Linked DNA regions of Macaca mulatta. The protein of the gene in region 1 binds, or shares a complex with, the protein of each later gene. Links are inferred from orthologs where the notes say so. Each region holds a gene or a part of one and is shown in the gene's direction. Other genes may lie near its edges. The genes, in order: CDK4 and CCND3.

Evidence for each region.
Region 2: the proteins of CDK4 (region 1) and CCND3 are in contact, whole or in part, in a crystal structure (PDB 7SJ3), measured with the Homo sapiens proteins. The link is inferred for Macaca mulatta from reciprocal best matches to the Homo sapiens genes CDK4 and CCND3. Residues at the interface, in NP_000066.1 of Homo sapiens: Gly46, Gly47, Gly48, Leu49, Ile51, Thr53, Val54, Arg55, Val57, Ala58, Leu59, Arg61, Arg62, Glu64, Ala65, Phe66, Val77, Ala79, Val89, Asp129, His132, Ala133, Asn134, Cys135, Arg163, Ile164, Tyr165, Ser166, Tyr167, Gln168; in NP_001751.1 of Homo sapiens: His11, Pro13, Arg14, Ala15, Gly16, Pro17, Asp18, Arg20, Leu21, Arg26, Val27, Ser30, Leu31, Arg33, Leu34, Arg37, Tyr38, Glu74, Lys112, Leu113, Arg114, Glu115, Thr116, Pro118, Ile121, Glu122, Pro134, Arg138, Glu141, Val142.

Annotation. Positions count from the first base shown.
Region 1 is NC_133416.1:64,929,029-64,933,349, reverse strand, and holds the start of CDK4 (cyclin-dependent kinase 4), read left to right. Parts: upstream 1-1,521; 5' UTR 1,522-1,677; intron 1,678-2,114; 5' UTR 2,115-2,133; coding exon 2,134-2,351; intron 2,352-2,506; coding exon 2,507-2,642; intron 2,643-2,761; coding exon 2,762-2,929; intron 2,930-3,086; coding exon 3,087-3,196; intron 3,197-4,321.
Region 2 is NC_133409.1:140,230,995-140,235,361, forward strand, and holds the start of CCND3 (G1/S-specific cyclin-D3), read left to right. Parts: upstream 1-1,478; 5' UTR 1,479-1,624; coding exon 1,625-1,822; intron 1,823-2,112; coding exon of another isoform or gene 2,113-2,322; intron 2,323-2,691; coding exon 2,692-2,907; intron 2,908-4,367. UniProt on the Homo sapiens protein: Regulatory component of the cyclin D3-CDK4 (DC) complex that phosphorylates and inhibits members of the retinoblastoma (RB) protein family including RB1 and regulates the cell-cycle during G(1)/S transition.

The DNA of each region.
Region 1 (4,321 bases):
TATCAGGATGGAAAGAGGGGGCATCTGTATTAACATGTATTCCATTTTGCTCTAAATCACGGTTTATATTCATCTTCTAGTTTGAACTCTTATATTCTCAGCCAGATGGTTAAGGAAAACAAGTTAGAGTGGAAGGAGTGGCAAATAGGGTAATAAAATGGCTTTAGATTTTACACAAATTCTCACAAATGAGACACTAACCGCTTTCCTCCTTTACTCCCATACCCTCAAAGGGCTAGGACATGAAGACCTTGGAGCCAATAAAACAAAGAAAGTAGGAGAAATCTACCTACGTCTACCTCGGTGTCTGTGGGCAGAGGCCATTTGGGAAAAAGTGTGTTCTGGACACCGCTAAGTGCTAAGAAAGAGGCACTAGGGAAAAAGAGGGAAGCACAATGACTCCAAATGAGCAGTCACAAGGTTTACAGAAGGAGACATGTCATTTTCATTCATTGTGGTGGTCTGGAGGGTGCAGGGGGTGTGGTGGTAACTTTCTTGCACATGTACACTCCTGTATCCATCTTATATATTACATGTAATAAATAATATATACATACATATATACATAGAAGTATATATACACATATAAAAATATCACATAATCATAGAACCGTCCTACTGGGGAAAAAAAAAACTTAAAGGTCAAGTATTCCTGTCTCCTGCTCATTAATAACTTCTCTGCCAGATGGCCTCAGGTCTTTGCATTAACACTCCCAGGGAGATTTGGAAGTTGAGAAAAGAGGGGGCATTACCTTGTCACTGAACCTGTTGGATTACTGTATTAATCTGCCTTCTGTCCGTCCTTTAATCGTAGTTTTGCCCTCAAATGGGCATTGTTTACTCCCTATTTTAGAAGACCCCATTGTTGGCTACATCTTTCTAGATAGTCGTACCACTACTTTAAAGGGCCAGTGACAGACACCAGAAACAAAACAAAATAAAAACCCACATACACACTGGAAGCAAGCACTCAGTAAAATGTTGTAGAATTAATGAATGAATCAATGACACAAATGAGAGTATGTTTTATCATGGTGGAGCGAAAAGGTGACAGCATCACCTCTGGTACCCCAACTCCCATTCCCTCCCCAATGTAGACAGGCTGAAAGACCGGTAGTGAGACTGGAGTTCAGCCTTCAGACCGGTAGTGAGACAATCCTTCAGCCGGGAGTTGGGCTCTGGGTGGCCTAGGTTGCCATGGCACCGCCTCGGGCTCCACCCTCTCTTGTCCCCTTACCGCGCCCCCCCGCGGCGGGGGTTGTGGCAGCCAGTCATGTGCCCGCCGCGTAACCACACCTCTGCTCCTCAGAGCAATGTCAAGCGGTCACGTGTGATAGCAACAGATCACGTGGCTACCATCGCCCCTCCGCCCCCTTACACTCTTCGCCCTCCTCCCCGTCAAAGCGGCTCCTGGCCACCCCTCCGCGCATGGGTGGCAGTCACGTGCCCAGAACGTCCGGCGTTCGCCCCGCCCTCCCAGTTTCCGCGCGCCTCTTTGGCAGCTGGTCACATGGTGAGGGTGGGGGTGAGGGGGCCTCTCTAGCTTGCGGCCTGTGTCTATGGTCGGGCCCTCTGCGTCCAGCTGCCCCGGACCGAGCTTGGGTGTATGGGGCCGTAGGAACCAGCTCCGGGGCCCCGATAACGGGCCGCCCCCGCAGCACCCCGGCCTGGCGTGAGGTAAGTGCAGTCCCTTCCCGGGAATGAGAACCAGTGCCCGCCCCCCTCACAGTTTTCCACGCGTTCGTTTCTCGAGCTGGTTATGGAGGGGTCGCTCAAGGGCGGGAAGTGGGGCCTTTGTGGTCATGGGAAAGTATAATTTTAGGGACTGAGGTGTAGGATCTTTGATGCAAGGCATGTGTCATGTGTGATCTTTGTGCAGGGCGCGATTGTCCCAAAGGAAAATGCGTTTTTTATTGCAGGGCCTCACGTGGCTGGAGGGGTTGGTATTGAGTCATTGTGTTATCTCTGGGGCCGGCCCCAAGGAAGGCTGCGAGCGGGGGATGGGATGCTAGTGTTGCTCTTTGTGCTTTTTTTTGGGAGTCCTTTTGTTGCTGCAGGCTCATACCATGCTAATTCTGTAAGGGACTTTTGGTGATAGGAGTCTGTGATTGTAGGGTCGCCCTTGATCTGAGAATGGCTACCTCTCGATATGAGCCAGTGGCTGAAATTGGTGTCGGTGCCTATGGGACAGTGTACAAGGCCCGTGATCCCCACAGTGGCCACTTTGTGGCCCTCAAGAGTGTGAGAGTCCCCAATGGAGGAGGAGCTGGAGGAGGCCTTCCCATCAGCACAGTTCGGGAGGTGGCCTTACTGAGGCGACTGGAGGCTTTTGAACATCCCAATGTAGTCCGGTGAGAAGGTGGTGACGAGGGGAGTGGGGAGTAAAGGGAAAAGACAGCCTATAGGTGGGGTGTGGTGATCTGTAGAGAAGTGGGGACCCTGAGGAAATAATGAGAGGCCATGTTGGGTTAAAGGGGATTGAAAAGTGAGCATTTACTCTGGCCAGGCTGATGGACGTCTGTGCCACATCCCGAACTGACCGGGAGATCAAGGTAACCCTGGTGTTTGAGCATGTAGACCAAGACCTAAGGACGTATCTGGACAAAGCACCCCCACCAGGCTTGCCAGCCGAGACCATCAAGGTGAGTGGGGTTGGTAGGCATTGAGAGGTGGATTGGGACCTTTGTAGTAAAACCTCCTGGGATTTCAGGTATGGTGTGCCTAGTTTCCAGTGCATCTGTACCTCCCCCTTCTAAACTAGGATTTGATGCGCCAGTTTCTAAGAGGCCTAGATTTCCTTCATGCAAATTGCATCGTTCACCGAGATCTGAAGCCAGAGAACATTCTGGTGACAAGTGGTGGAACAGTCAAGCTGGCTGACTTTGGCCTGGCCAGAATCTACAGCTACCAGATGGCACTTACACCCGTGGTCAGTAGAAAGATGGTACCAAAATGGGTTCTGGTTGGGAGTAGGAGAGTGATTGCCTGTAGCAATTGAGAAGTCATGTGCTTCGTGTGTTCAGTCAAGCAAGTTGTGTTTTGTGGTAACCCATGGAGTCCCCATCCATTCTTCCTATTCTCTTTAGGTTGTTACACTCTGGTACCGAGCTCCCGAAGTTCTTCTGCAGTCCACATATGCAACACCTGTGGACATGTGGAGTGTTGGCTGTATCTTTGCAGAGATGTTTCGTCGAAAGTATGGGACCCACATACCCTGGACCACCTTGAATTCCCCAAATTGCTTGTTCATAAACCACGTCCACACCCTGCCCATTCTTTCTTTTTCTCTTTTTTTTTTTTTTTTTTTTTTTTTTGAGACCAGGGCTTGCTTTGTTGCTCAGGCTGGATTGCAATGGCATGATCACAGCTCACTGCAGTGTCAACCTCCTGGGCTCAAGTGATCCTCCCATCTCAGCCTCCCAAGTAGCTGACACTCCATGCCCAGCTAGTTTTTTAATATTTCTGTAGAGAGGGGGGGTCTCAGTATATTGCCCAGGCTGGTCTTGAACTCTTGTACTCAAGCAGTCCTCCCACCGCTATCTCCCAAAGTGCTGGGATTACAAGCGTGAACTACTGGACCTGGCCCCATTCTTTTACTTGCATACTACTGACTACTTTGCCCATAGCAGAAAGCTCTGAAATGCTCTAGAATTAGGAACTTCATATCCCTTTATTCTCTTTTATTTATTTATTTATTTTTGCAATAAGGTTTCACTCTGTCACCCAGGCTGGAGTGCAATGGCCCAATTACAGCTCACTGTAGCCTCTATCTCCTGGGCTCAAGCAATTCTCCCATCTCAGCCTCCTGAGTAGCAGAAACTATAGGTGCATGCCACCATGACTGGCTTTTTTTTTTTTTTTGAGACGGAGTCTCGCCTTGTCGCCAGGCTGGAGTGCAGTGGTGCGATCTCAGCTCACTGCAACCTCCGCCTCCCAGGTTCAAGTGATTCTCCTGACTCAGCCTCCCAAGTAGCTGGGACTACAGGTGCGTGCCACCACGTCCAGCTAATTTTTGTATTTTTAGTAGAGACGGGGTTTCACCATGTTGGCCAGGATGGTCTCAATCTCTTGACCTCATGATCCACCTGCCTCAGCCTCCTAACGTGCTGGGATTACAGGCGTGAGCCACTGTGCCCAGCAATTTTTTTTTTTTTTTTTTTTTTTTTTTTAAGAGACAAGGTCTTGCTTGCCCAGGCTGATCTGGAACTCCTGGGCTCAAGCAGTCCTCTCACCTTAGCATCCCAAAGTGCTGGAATTATCGACCTTTATTCCCTGTGCTTTCTATTTTGGGCCACTAAGCAGTAACCATTCAACTAAGATA
Region 2 (4,367 bases), on another chromosome or scaffold:
CAAATAATAATAATAATAATAATAATTAACAGAAAATGGTTGGCACAGAACTTACATCTTCTACATAGTGTCATTTCTCTAGTTACTTCCTTAGTAAGGAAAGAGACACTTCCTTAGTGTCTTCTAAGTCAGGAGGACCCCAGTAGGGCAGGGATCCTCTATAGCCTCCTCCCATTTGGAGCATTATTGGAGGTCTTTTGTCTGCTTCTTGGTCAAGGGAATCCAGCTTCCGGTAAAACTACAAAGTAACCAAAAGTTTGGGAGGTGGAAGAAATGCAACCGGTAGATCTCAGAGTCTGTGGGAGAAACTGATTCAGTGAGAATCTAGTTTTTCCGTCCAGTTTCTCCAAACAGAAACTAAGGCCGACTTTAGGGGCTTGTCCAAAGCTGGGCAACCAACTTGACAAGGTGAGGAGGCCTTGACTCCATGGCCTTTCCGTTCTGTTATATGCTGATTTAGACTAAGGCTCTCATACTTTATTTTTTTTTTTTTATTTTTATTTTTTTTTTTTTGAGACGGAGTCTCGCTCTGTGGCCCAGGCTGGAGTGCAGTGGCGCGATCTCGGCTCACTGCAAGCTCCGCCTCCCGGGTTCACGCCATTCTCCTGCCTCAGCCTCCCGAGTAGCTGGGACTACAGGCGCCCACAACCGCGCCCGGCTAATTTTTTGTATTTTTAGTAGAGACGGGGTTTCACCGTGGTCTCGATCTCCTGACCTTGTGATCCGCCCGCCTCGGCCTCCCAAAGTGCTGGGATTACAGGCGTGAGCCACCGCGCCCGGCCCAGCTCTCATACTTTAAAGTGCACAGAAATCTAGTTAAAATGCAGATTCTGATTCAGGTTAGGGGTGGGCCTGAGAGTCTGCATTTCTAACCAGCTCCCAGGCGATGACCATGCACGGGACAGGTCTGGGATCACTGTTTAACTAGCAGTGGTGTAGAGCACAGAATCTGGAGCAAGAAGGCCAGATTCCCAATCCTAGCTCTGCCACGGGCCAACCGAATGACAGTTGCCTCGGTTTCCGAGTTTTCGTGAAGATGTAGTGAGTCATTACATTGTGAGGCTTTGGAGCAGTGTTCACTAAGAACTGACTCTGACATTATTTATCGCATTCCTTAGAGCAAGCAGCCGGTGAAGTAGGGTTTGACGAATGAATAAGTGAATGAATGACCTTTGGAGAAAAATTCTTTCCTGGGTGACTAGAGTCCGAGAAGCAAAATGGGAGGGCTCGTGGGTGGGTAGGAGGCCCACCTCCTAGAAAGTTCTCTGCACCCGGTGGTCCAGAGGGCCCGGAGTGCCCGGAAGCCGGCCGGCTTGCGCTCAGCGGCCCAATGGGGCCGCGGGAGGGAGGGGAGAGCGCCCAGCCAGCCCTTTCCGTCCGGGGCGCCGCAGCCCCGCCCCTCGGAGCGTTGCGACGTCCGAGCATTCCACGGTTGCTACATCGTCGCGAGGGGCGGGGCGCCTGTCAGGGAAGCGGCGCGCGCGGGCGGCGGGCGGGCTGGGGATCCGCCGCGCAGTGCCAGCGCCAGCGCCAGCGCCAGACCCGCTCTCCGCGCTCTCCGGCCCGTCGCCTGCCTTGAAACTCGCGAGCCCGCACTCCCGCCCTGCCTGTGCGCTGCCCGAGTATGGAGCTGCTGTGTTGCGAAGGCACCCGGCACGCGCCCCGGGCCGGGCCGGACCCGCGGCTACTCGGGGACCAGCGTGTCCTGCAGAGCCTGCTCCGCCTGGAGGAGCGCTACGTGCCCCGCGCCTCCTACTTCCAGTGCGTGCAGCGGGAGATAAAGCCGCACATGCGGAAGATGCTGGCTTACTGGATGCTGGAGGTACCGCCCGGACGCGTCCCCCTCCCCCACCGCTCCCGGGTCTGGACACACCGGGGCCGCCCTGTCGGGACATCGCGGTCCCCACAGCAATCTGCAGGATGCTCCGAGGCTAAGACCCCCGGGGCCTGGCCTTTCACTAGGGCACCCTAGCCAGCTGCCTCCCTTGCTTTCCCGAGCCCTAATCGGCTCCTCCCAACTGTGAGTGCCAGTCACTTGGCACCGTAACTGTGCCTCTCTTCGGGCCGAGAAAACGGGACCAGGGACATCGTCTCCCCTTCGGCTTCTCACAGCGTCTCCCACTTCCCTCCCCCTCCCGGCCTTCTCCGGAGAGCGCGCCTGGAAAACCCTGGGCTCGGCCGCCCCCGCCCGGGAGCCGGTTCCTGTGTCTGTCGCGGGGTTCTGGCGGGGAAGGCGATGGGGGTGGCGCGCGCCCTGTTCCGGCCGACAGGGAAATGAAAAGTGCGGGAGGCAGTGGCAGGAGCCTCCTCCCTTCCCTTCGGGTGTGTGCAGTGGTGGCGGTGATGGGGGTGAGGTCCCAGCTCTCTGGCTACCATGGGTGACCCTTGCGTCCCACTTCCCGTCGCTGTGGGGGAGGGGAGTCTCCGTTTGGAATCCTTCTTGAGGAAGGGCTCCTTGACTTTACCACCCCCACCCCACCAAGGGGAGAGGGGAGGAGGCCGCGCAGAGGAAGTGGGGGGCGTCACCTTGGGGAGGGCCCATCCTCCTCCTTTATTGGTCCTTGTCTCTGTAAGTAGCTTACCCTCTCTCCCGTTTTTGCTCCCTATCCCACCTCACTTCAGCGCCCCCACCCCCGCGCTGCTGTGTTCCCCACGCTCCGGCCCCAGCAGTGACTGTGCGCCCTCCCCCAGGTATGTGAGGAGCAGCGCTGTGAGGAGGAAGTCTTCCCCCTGGCCATGAACTACCTGGATCGCTACCTGTCCTGTGTCCCCACCCGAAAGGCGCAGTTGCAGCTCCTGGGTGCGGTCTGCATGCTGCTGGCCTCCAAGCTGCGCGAGACCACGCCCCTGACCATCGAAAAACTGTGCATCTACACCGACCACGCTGTCTCTCCCCGCCAGTTGCGGGTGCGTGTGTAACTCCCCCCACCCCCGACACATACTGTCTCCCCACTTTCCAGGAAAAGGAACGCTTGAGATATCAGAGGCTTTCTGCTCCCTGGAGAGGGCGCAAGGCGATCAGGACCTTTGGGAAGGGAATTAGGGTGGAACAAACGATGGGGCAGTGTGGTGTGATGGTTAGTATCACTCCCGCCTAGGCTCGAGCTGCAGTCAGGCATTAAACGCCCTCCTGACCTCCAGGGGATGCCACTCCTTCCTGGTCTTTCCCTCAGATAGCAACAAGTCAAACTGCATGTCTACACTCACTAGTACTTTGCCTCTGGGTTTACGCAGCCACCATGAGTTATTTATTGGCAGCAGAAGGGCATGCCTGCACACCCCCACTGGAGTAGGGGAGTGGAATGTGCTTCATGTGGGGGAGGGGGTTTGCCTTGGTTGAGTCTTTATCCTCATGTGGACTTTGTGATAGAAAAACCTCCCAGAGCCAATTAAAGCCAGGCTCTGATTGCTTTAAGGAAGGGCTGATGTATTTCATCCCACCTTCTTTGCTTCCTCTTATATCCCGGAAGAGACAGCTTCTTCCTAATCCTTTCCTGTCCTCATTCTGAGGAACTGGAGCAGCTGCTTTGGGCCTGGTGGAAACAGCTCCCTCTACCCCCCTTAGCCAAAGGCCCAAGCTGAGGGACAGGCAGGGAGGTGAGCTGCAGCTGCTTCCGATGTGATAATGGTGCCCCCTCCCCCGGCCCGCCCTCTCTGACCAAGGTCTTTCATAACCCTGTGGGGAGCTGCTGTCACTCCTGTGGTTTGGGAAGTGGCTCCCTGGGCCTCTTGCTGGAAACTTGGGCTGGGCTCAGACAGGGCAGGAAAGTCACCGGTTCTGTCCCGCCTCAGAAGGAGCCTCAGTCCCGGGCAGCTGCTGGATCTGGAAGAGGTTATTTAGGACATGCAGATTGTCTCCTAGGGGGCTGGGGGGAGAGGGTGGGTGAGCTGGCACTTTCTTCCACCTTGCTCTGTGGCGGGCCAAGTCTTCTGCTGACCCTGAGAGGAGTCTCTGGGCCCCATCTCCCAGGGAGGAGGGCAGCAAGCAGGCTGCTGTGATTGGCTGGCAGGGAAGCCAGGGTACTGGGGCCCCCGACTGCTGTGAGTCGAGGAACAGGATTCCTCTTCCTGCCAAGTAGCTCAGAGATGGGAGTAGGAGGCCAGAGTTGGGAATCCAGGAGACTCCACAGCTCTTTGTGATGAATCTGGTAGTTTTTGGCAAGTCTGAAGGTGGAGCTAGTTTCCAGGGCCAGAGAGCAAGATGTTTTTGGAGGGGTTGGGGCTGGAAGGTAGAAGGGGAACTTCCTTTTTGTGAAAAGATGGAGGTGGTGTGTGTGCCTACATATGAGGGTTTTTCAGTGCAGGCAAAAAGTACTCTTCCCTTTGTCTGAGCTGGGTGTGGAGTGCCCAGAAGACTTCCTAGAAGG